3 linked regions of the Oryctolagus cuniculus genome follow. The protein of the gene in region 3 binds, or shares a complex with, the protein of the main gene of each other region. Links are inferred from orthologs where the notes say so. Each region holds a gene or a part of one and is shown on either strand. Other genes may lie near its edges. The genes, in order: THOC7, THOC1 and CHTOP.

The links.
Region 1: CHTOP (region 3) and THOC7 share a complex: the UniProt entries of both Homo sapiens proteins name them as parts of the transcription/export (TREX) complex. The link is inferred for Oryctolagus cuniculus from reciprocal best matches to the Homo sapiens genes CHTOP and THOC7.
Region 2: CHTOP (region 3) and THOC1 share a complex: the UniProt entries of both Homo sapiens proteins name them as parts of the transcription/export (TREX) complex. The link is inferred for Oryctolagus cuniculus from reciprocal best matches to the Homo sapiens genes CHTOP and THOC1.

What each region holds. Positions count from the first base shown.
Region 1 is NC_091441.1:85,869,370-85,872,115, forward strand, and holds the end of THOC7 (THO complex subunit 7), read left to right. Parts: intron 1-650; coding exon 651-717; intron 718-806; coding exon 807-876; intron 877-1,914; coding exon 1,915-1,982; 3' UTR 1,983-2,246; downstream 2,247-2,746. UniProt on the Homo sapiens protein: Component of the THO subcomplex of the TREX complex which is thought to couple mRNA transcription, processing and nuclear export, and which specifically associates with spliced mRNA and not with unspliced pre-mRNA.
Region 2 is NC_091441.1:56,785,903-56,788,762, forward strand, and holds the end of THOC1 (THO complex subunit 1), read right to left. Parts: intron 2,263-2,860; coding exon 2,115-2,262; intron 1,389-2,114; coding exon 1,313-1,388; intron 907-1,312; coding exon 611-906; 3' UTR 507-610; downstream 1-506. UniProt on the Homo sapiens protein: Component of the THO subcomplex of the TREX complex which is thought to couple mRNA transcription, processing and nuclear export, and which specifically associates with spliced mRNA and not with unspliced pre-mRNA.
Region 3 is NC_091438.1:44,665,005-44,668,666, reverse strand, and holds the end of CHTOP (chromatin target of PRMT1 protein), read left to right. Parts: intron 1-588; coding exon 589-726; intron 727-2,361; coding exon 2,362-2,567; 3' UTR 2,568-3,575; downstream 3,576-3,662. UniProt on the Homo sapiens protein: Plays an important role in the ligand-dependent activation of estrogen receptor target genes. May play a role in the silencing of fetal globin genes.

The sequences.
Region 1 (2,746 bases), on a different chromosome or scaffold from region 3:
GTAGATAGAGTATGACCCATTCACATACTAGAATATTAAATATCAATTTAAAAGGGTAAATTAGATATATGTATATATAAACTGTCAAAGCACAGATCTTAAAACATTAGTGAAAAAAATAAGACATGCAATAAATTGTAGATTATTCCTAAGTTTGTGAAACACAGATAGTAAACATTTATAAAAATTAAATCATCTCAAAACACTTTATGTGTAATATTTGGTATATTAATGCTGTAAATTATTCATGAATTAAATATATACATTAAAAAGCATTATATTTAATAAGGTTGCATAACTAGGGCTAGAGAAGAAAAAAGGACCTGGAAGAGAAGACTGGGGGTAAGGTTCAAAGAGCTACCAGCAGTATCTTATATCTTTATAGAAAAAAAAAATGGCAGTATGTGAAAATGTATCAGTTCTTGGAATTTGTTATTTTCTGTTTCCTTGAATTTTTCAAAATTTGTCCAAATTGTAAATAATAAAAAGGAGTTAAGAAGAAATAATCCTCAGCTTTGAAAATCTTGTTAGAGTAGATTGTTAAACTTCTTATCCATTTGTTATTTTTGAAAGTACTATTTAGTAACTAGAAATTTGGTATTAAATGTAAATTCTGTTCCTTCAATTGGCAAACTATAACTTTTTTTCAGGGAACTAGAGTCTCTGGGAAAAGAATTAGAGCATCTTTCACACATTAAAGAAAGTGTTGAAGATAAGGTATTTATTTACATATTATGTTAGCCTTTGTGATACATATATGCTTATAATACATCAATTTGCAAAATTTTATTTTCTTGTTAACACAGCTTGAATTGAGACGTAAACAGTTTCACGTTCTTCTTAGTACCATCCATGAACTTCAGCAAACATTGGAAAGTAAGTAGAATAATCTCAAAATGAATGCTTATGAAAACTCTGTGTTAATACAGGGAGATGCCTTTTGAAATATGCATTTTGGGGGCCAATGTTGTGGCATAGTGCTGGGATCCCTGTGGTCTTCATTTCAAGTTCTGGCGGCTCCACTTCCCAATCCAGCTCCCTGCTATTGTGCCTGGGAAAGCAGCTGAAGATGGCCCAAGTGCTGGGGCTCCTACTTACATGGGAGACCCGGAAGAAGCTCCCGGCTTCTGGCATTGGCCTGGCACAGCCTCTGCTGTTGCAGCCATTTGGGGAGTGAACCAGTAGATGGAAGATTTCTTTCTCTGTTCTCTCTCTCTCTCTCTCTCTCTCTCTCTGTGTAACTCTGACTTTCAGATAAATAAAAGAAATATGCATTGTGAAGAGAGTATATCTTACATTTCTGAATAGGAGAATAGCTGGATAATGTTAGCAGGCATCCATGCTGTTTAGCTTCATAAAGTTATGCAGAAAAGCCTTACTTTATACTAATACATGACTTAAATATATGACATAGCTTAAGAAAAATTTAATGATGATGAGTTTAAAATTTTTCTTGGTTATTATAGTTTATTACTATAAAGAAATGATTCAAAACCCTGATAAGCAAGGTAAGTATTCAGTATATAAGAATATTTGCATACCCATTGATTGAATGGTGAGTGCCTTTGGGAACTATAGATGTGCTGTTTATATTTTCTGTAGCCAACTGGAAATTACCCTATTACCTGATCTTCTGATAGTTTTGAGGAGCCTAAGACTTGGATTTTTTGGGGGAAAATTTGGTAGAGAATCTAGCGTGCAGATTTTGCATTTTGATTCAACTAATCAACAACAACCCATACAATTTTAAAAACGAAACACTTCATGTGGGCTGATTATAGATACAAGCTAACTTTTCACTATTTTTGCTTTAAGTGTGTTGGCTAATAAAGGATAACAGTGTTCTCATATATTCACTAGAGACAAAATTTGGGCAAATTTGACTAAGGTTGTATGTTTCTTTCTCAATTACAGATGATGAAAAGCTCTCAGAGGTAGAAGAAGCTCAAGAAACAAGTATGGAAGCCAACCCTAAGCCATAGATGGGCTAATCACTCATCATTCCTAGGAATATTAAGATCACTACATGATCCTCGTGTGCTTAGAAATTGTTGTGCTCATGAGATAGTTAATGTTTTGGCAATGAGATACTTTGTTTTAAATGTTAATGTACATTTCATTCATATTTCTTTACACAAGGAAAATGCCTTCACTGTGGATTTGGTTTTGTTGAAATGCTTGTTTTTTATTATTAAAAGTTAGGAAGCAGCATCCCAAAATGTTTAATAAAATGTTTTCAAGCTGAATTTGTTTGTGCTTCTTACTATGTTAGTATCTAGTAGCACTGATAACTGCTAACATTTTAACTGGTAGCATCTATTGGCTTACAAAGTTAAGTTAAAGATTGTGAGACATTGACATTTCTAGGATCTTCACGAGAAAATGAGTCCATTTCTGGAAATTATTACCACTTTTTTTTTAAATATTTAGACATCAGAATGTCTTTGATATAGAAATCAACAAACAACAAATGCTGATGAGGGTGTGGGGGAAAAAAGGTACCCTAATCCACTGTTGGTGGGAATGTAAACTGGTACAGCCACTGTGGAAGACAGTATGGAGATACCTCAGAAAGCTGAATACAGATGTACCATATGACCCAGTCATCCCTCTCCTGGGAATTTACCCAAGGGAAATGAATTCAGCATATGAAAGAGTTATCTGTATCCCCATGTTTATGGCAGCTCAATTTACATCTAAGATATGGAATCAACCCAAATGCCCATCAACTGAAGACTGGATGAAG
Region 2 (2,860 bases), on a different chromosome or scaffold from region 3:
TTTTTAAAGGTGGGAGTTGGCAAACATTTTCTGTAATGGGCCAGATGGTATATATTTGAGGCTTTACAGGCCATAGGTGTCTGTCTGTTGCAAATACTTAGTGTTGTAGGGCAGCAGGGACCATGGCCAACAGGATTAGGCACAGTGAGTGCCAATACAATTTTAATTATAAAAACATGAAGTGAACAGATCATTTGCTCAGTTTGTGCTGTAAAGCATGAATAAAGTGGAATAGAGTGGTCTTGGTTTCAGAAGGTGTTAATCGGGGATTTCAGAGCCCTACATTTTATAACTAATAGGGTGCAGGAAACTAATTTGGTGTATGAAACAACATATCCTTAAATATCACTTAACTTCATTACAAATACATTTAACAAAAATATATTTTGTGATCTTGAGGTCACCTCATTTTGGTCATTTTTCCCATTCCCAACCCCCTCCAACCCTGAGGTTTGAGCCAATGTGTGTTCTATGGTTCTTGGAGCACCAGCCAACTGTACAACAACTGTTATAAAAATGTTTATTGTTTACCAAAACCAGTGGACCTCTTATCAAATGCTGCTTGGTAACAAAATCTTATCACAGTTTTAATAAAAAAAGAAAAAAGAAGCTAACTATTTGTCTCATTGTCATTAGTTAGACTTTCTGCAAGGTCACTTAATCCAGACTTGTTCAGAGCGTTAATCAGATTCTCTGGTGTTGCATGCACTCCCTCTTGATCTTGCCAGGCAACTAGGAGCTGCCTAGCTCTCATCTTCACATCTTCACTGTCACACTCAATCTGCCTAATTTCTGAGTCTTTCATTTCCAAGTAGGGAGCCAGAATCTTCCATTGTTCACCGAGCTTGTTGGCAAATATCTCTATTTGTTCCCCTGTTACAGGTTTGTCTCGCCGAACATCAGGACCTAGAAAAGAGAGATTATTGTATAATACATGTAAAGGACACTATACAGCAGAACTGGACAGCTATGGGGCCACTGAATTACCACTTTTAGTAAGCTTTCTTGTAACATAACTTTTTTCACATTTTCCATGGGTGAATACTGCTCTTATGATCATGATTATTATCAACAGCTGTCCCCCTCCAGTAGTTATCAGTTACAACTCCACTTCTCTACATTAAAAATACCATCACTTCCAAATTTTATTGCAAAAATGTAGTATTTTTTGTTGTTAATTCCTATCAGAAGACAGTACTGAGATAAAGAGGCAGAAGTTGAGAAGTGGTTTGGATGAAATAAACCTACTTCCCCATAAAGAACCCCAGTCTTTTCCAATTTTGTAAAATAACTAAGAAAACTGAATTCTTACTTTCATTTTCCTTCAGTAAAGCATCATTATCTTCCTCATCTTCATCTTCACCTGTTTTTATTTCTTCAGAAGGAGGCTAAAAATGAGAAAAGATGTTTAAAAGAATACTACCTTGTGAAGTAAGATAACTGAAGATGCTTTTTAAATAAACAGAGGTTTGAGACTCTTAAGTACAGGACCCCAGTACCTTACCCTCAGGAGTGCTAAATGTGAATATCAGGTGAGGATTACAGGTAGGAAGATTTCCCCCTGTCCCCAGCCTGCACTGAAGGGAGGCAGTGAAAAGCATGGGAAGCTGATGTGCAGAGACTAAAGGTTTGGTAGAGAAGGCCGGAGAGCCACAGTGTCCTTAACATTTTTTGAAAATTTTATTAGATTTCAGTCATATGGTATTATCTAATGGTAATCCATGCTGTAATATGGTTAGAAAACTGTATTGGAAAAGAGAACAGGAACAAAGGGCAAATTCTCTATTTTCTACCCTTAGCCCCTGTTTTTGATGAAAGACAATAACGGCAAATGGGAAACATTCATGTGTGAGTTTAATGGCTGGATAAATAGCTTACCTAAAATATTGTAGACTTGTATTAAGTTACGTGCTACAGAAAACTATCAGCTACTTTATTTCCTGGAAGTGTACATATTCAAATTATTTTTTTCATTCTAAACAGGGAAGTTTGTGCATTGCTATTTTTGACATGATAAACAAATCTCAAATTTTGCTCATTTCTTTGCTCACACAGTGACAGTTTTTAAAAAGATGACGTCAACTACAGAGTACGAGACAATCTAAATTACTTACTGGCAATTCCTTGGCTAGCTTTATTACCATGTTCTCAAGATATTCTGGCAAACTTTTAAACTGCTGGTTGGTTGGCTGGAAGAAATGAGGGCTTCTTCGCGCTAACAGTCTCAGGGCTCTCCAACCGTAATTTGAATTGTTCACAGCCCTACAAAGAGAGATGTCAATTGTATAACTTAGTGTTTTCTATTTGTATATTCTCTTCTATTTAATTCTGCCACATGACATCTGTAAGGTAAACAGAGCAAAGCAGCCATTCTTGTCATTCTGTCCAACTCCTAAAGACCATCTCTGTATGCAGGGCACATGTACGTAATAGAAACCAACTGCATGAAGAGTCAGCCTCAGACGCAAGCACATTTAAAATGTTTACATATATTTTATTTGGTTTTTCTATTTATAACATGTAAGCTTTAACTTGCATTAATGCCCACTTGAAAGAATAAAAATGGTTCAAATACTAAAAGTAACAGCCAACACAGAGCTGGCAAGAACAGCCATGAACGTCCCTACTAAAGCCCAGCAGCAGCAGGTGGTTCCAGACAGTCTGAAGATACTGCTCCAGAAGCAGCGGAACTGCAGAGGAAGCCAAAGCTCTAACTCCATTTATGAGTTTATCTCCCACACCCGCAAATTCAGAGTAGCATTCTACTTACTTGACCATCTCTAATAAATGGTAATAATAAGATTACTGTTGAGATGTCCTGGTCCACTGGAGACCTGAACAATTACTCCTAGAGAGCAGG
Region 3 (3,662 bases):
CTATGACCTGCGTAACAACAGGTAATTCATGTCATCTCCATTCCATTTTAAAACACCGTGCTGCTGCTTGAATCAAAAAGCACATTGATGTTCTAGAAATAAGTCAAATGTAAGAACTTTGTTGGTCTTTTGACCTATATCTTAACCAACCATCTCTGCTCCTGGTGCTGGTGAAAAACTACTGTATCTGGAAGAGAGGACAAGTTGACCCATAGCATTTAACTTGTATCTTATGTTTTGGGCAGTATTATACTGCCATGTATAGTTTTTCATTCCTACAAGAATGTATTAAGAGCAGGAACCGTTTATTTTAAATCTATAATGCTAGGCATCTATCTGATTATTCAGTAAATATGTATTAAATGTATGTACTTACTACCAACTTCTTCCAAAAATGGATTTGTGGTCAGACTTGTTGAATTGATTAAAGAGCAGCTTTTTAATCTGCTCACATTGTGTGTAGTTTGCCCCACCCAACCTAAAAATTAACTCAATTACTCATTTAACCCTCACTGCCTTCCTTTGGTCAGAATCTACTTTGTCTCTCTTGGATTTACCTGCATATACATTGTGTGCCTCCTCTCCAAGGTCAAAACCTGCTCCGAGGTGGACGAGCCGTAGCTCCCCGAATGGGCTTAAGAAGAGGTGGTGTTCGAGGTCGTGGAGGTCCTGGGAGAGGGGGCCTAGGGCGTGGAGCTATGGGTCGTGGCGGAATCGGTGGTAGAGGTTAGTCAGCTACCAACTTCAGAGAGTAGCTCCCTTTTATTTTCCTCCCTTAAAAACTCAGAGCCACCTTTCTGCACAGCTTCAAGTCGTAGACAGGCTTGTATGTTTGTCTTGTTTTGTTTTTTGAAACTGGCTTATTTTCCAAATTCACATGCTGGTAGTGCAAAAATCTGTCATTTTTCCAAGAACCAGTCAGGTGTGTATTAGCCAGATTATATGTAGTCTTCCAGACTCTTGCAGATGTAAATTTTATTATAAAAATGACTAAATAGTTTGGGATCTTTTCTGTCTCTGCTGAATCATCACCACACACACACACCCCTCATAGCTCAAAACACCAGCTTGAGTCAGATAAGAATAGAGAAGAGGGAGATGTGCAAATATGAAGGCAGAGTGAGGTAGACTTGGAGCCGGGCACTGTCTCTGAAGCCAAGTTCAGCATGCCTGTGGGGAACCCTAGATGCCTCTTTCTGATCAAGGTGGACAGTAAGATGATACTCTTGTCAGTGAACTCACTGGCTCTTGATGATTATACCTTTGAGAAACTTGGTGATACTTGTTTTGTGACCTCATGACCCAGATTGGAAAAGCTTAGTGGTGGTGATGGTGTTACTGCCAAATCTCATGGGAGCTTTCTGACTTAGCTTAATGAAACACTCCCAACAACACCTGTAGGGGAAGGGGAGACCTGTTCTTATGGTCCCTTGTTTATATTCCTTTGGTCCTTTTAAAGTGTGTGGTGGGTCTTCCATAATTTATGACCATGAAGCTGCCAAGGAATATTAACTGTAGGAAATCTGATAACCAAGGGCTTGTTTGCTTTCCCATTATGTGCTACTTGGCTTATTGAGTGAATTGCAAAGGAGTTTGAGTTTCGGGATGAAATACCATGTTTCTAGAATTATCTTGATTTGGTTTCTGAGAGACATCACAGGGGTGGCAGAGACTAAAGTAGCTTTTCAAAAAAGCGAGTGTGCTTTGTTAAGTGAATTGAAACCACCTCTCAAATAGCCACATTGTCCTAAGGTGACTAGAATCAGAGGTAGACGGGGCTAGGACCATTCAAAATGTTTTTTTCCATCTTCTCACATTATTCCTGTGTCAAAATAACTCCTCAGTCTCCTGACACATGGGGAAGTCAGCTTGTTAGACCTCACTAAGTTTAAAGAGAGATGAGATCATTTTCCTGAAGGGTCTCCAGTAAAGCTTCATTTGGAAACTATCTGCCTTCACACCCTTGATTCTCTGTGCCCTTTCACTTTCTTTCTGTCTCGCTATATGGGGTTATCTCTAATGGATTTCAGTAATGAACTGATAGTGAGGTCTCAAACTTTAGGTTATTCTTTGTCTTAGGAAAGATTAATTTTTTTAATTATTATAATTGGCAGCTATTTTCCCTTTGATCGGATAATATTTTAAGTAGCATTTAGAGATGAGCATGTAATAAGGAATTCATTATGTGTGCTTTCCATGTGTTGCTTTCTATCCAGTGTGTGTGTGTTTCCAGATTTCTCCTTTACCCTGCCCTTCAGCTTTTCTCAGCTAGGCTCCACTACTCTTAGGGGCATTTACTATAGCATTCATTAAGCCTAATTGTAACTCTTGTTTTTGTTTTTGTTTTTTTCCTCGGGCCAGGTCGGGGTATGATAGGTCGGGGAAGAGGGGGCTTTGGAGGCCGAGGCCGAGGCCGTGGACGAGGGAGAGGTGCCCTTACTCGCCCCGTATTGACGAAGGAGCAGCTGGACAACCAGTTGGATGCATACATGTCGAAAACTAAAGGACACCTGGATGCCGAGTTGGATGCCTACATGGCGCAGACAGATCCTGAAACCAATGATTGAAGCCTGCCCACCGTTGTGTGAGAGACTCTTACTAAAATCACCACATCTGTAAATAACCTTGAGATAACAGTTGAAAAGAAACCTGATTGATGCTGGAAGGACCTATCATAATAGGCTATGGACTTAACCTACCACCAGTTGTGCATTTAGTGTGTTCCTTTGACTTTTTGATACTGTGTTGTATGAAACCCTTTTTCTCTTGATTTGGTTGGGCTTTGCTTTTTTTCTTTGTTGTTGTTTCCTTCGCAGACTTCTCTTTGAACATGAATGTGTTGGCCTTACGGCTAGGATACCCTCTTCCTACCTCTGCCTCCCTTCACCTGCCATATACTCTAATCTTCATTTCCTCGGTTCATCTGTGTTCCCTCACAAAAAAGTCCTAGAAAGAGCCACTGTTCCTCCCTAATGCCTAGGTTTCTGAGATTAAGTTCTGTATAATAACCTCTTAGAAGTGTTCAGAACATCTGGAGCTCAGAAATGTGTTGATGATGCAGTATACAGTGTAGTAAATTGGGAACACTGACATTGCCAAGGGCCAAAAAACAGTTTATAGATGGTAGAAGCTCAAGTTTGATTGAAGTTGCTACCATGTGCAGTAACACGTGTGGTAACTAGGCTTGCTGGGTTGGGTAAGATCCTTTCTACCCACAAATGAGATTTATACACTCTCCTCTTGGCTTTGTATTTCCCAAGGGATTGAGCTGGTTTAACTCCTTCATATAGAAGAAGAAAGCCATTTGGTTTGGCCAGTGCGTCAGAAGGTACGGGGATGGAAGAGCAGTGGCAGACTAATTGCTGGGAGGATCAGAAAATAATACCTGGGCTGAAAAGCAATTAGTCTCGTGTTTATTCCAAACCAGTCTTGGGTTTCTCCACTCACTGATTCTGTCTGAACTCCTCTCATTTCCCTTGAACGTTTAAGTAATTTCAACCATAGTCTGTCAACTGTTCCAGGTTCTGTGAAATCTTGTGTATTTCTGATTCATTATAACAAACTGTTCTCTCAAATCCAGCCAGGATTTTCTCTTATTTGTTGGGCTCCTCAAAATGCTGTGGCTACTTTAATGATGTCTTGGTGTATGTACCCTACCCCTA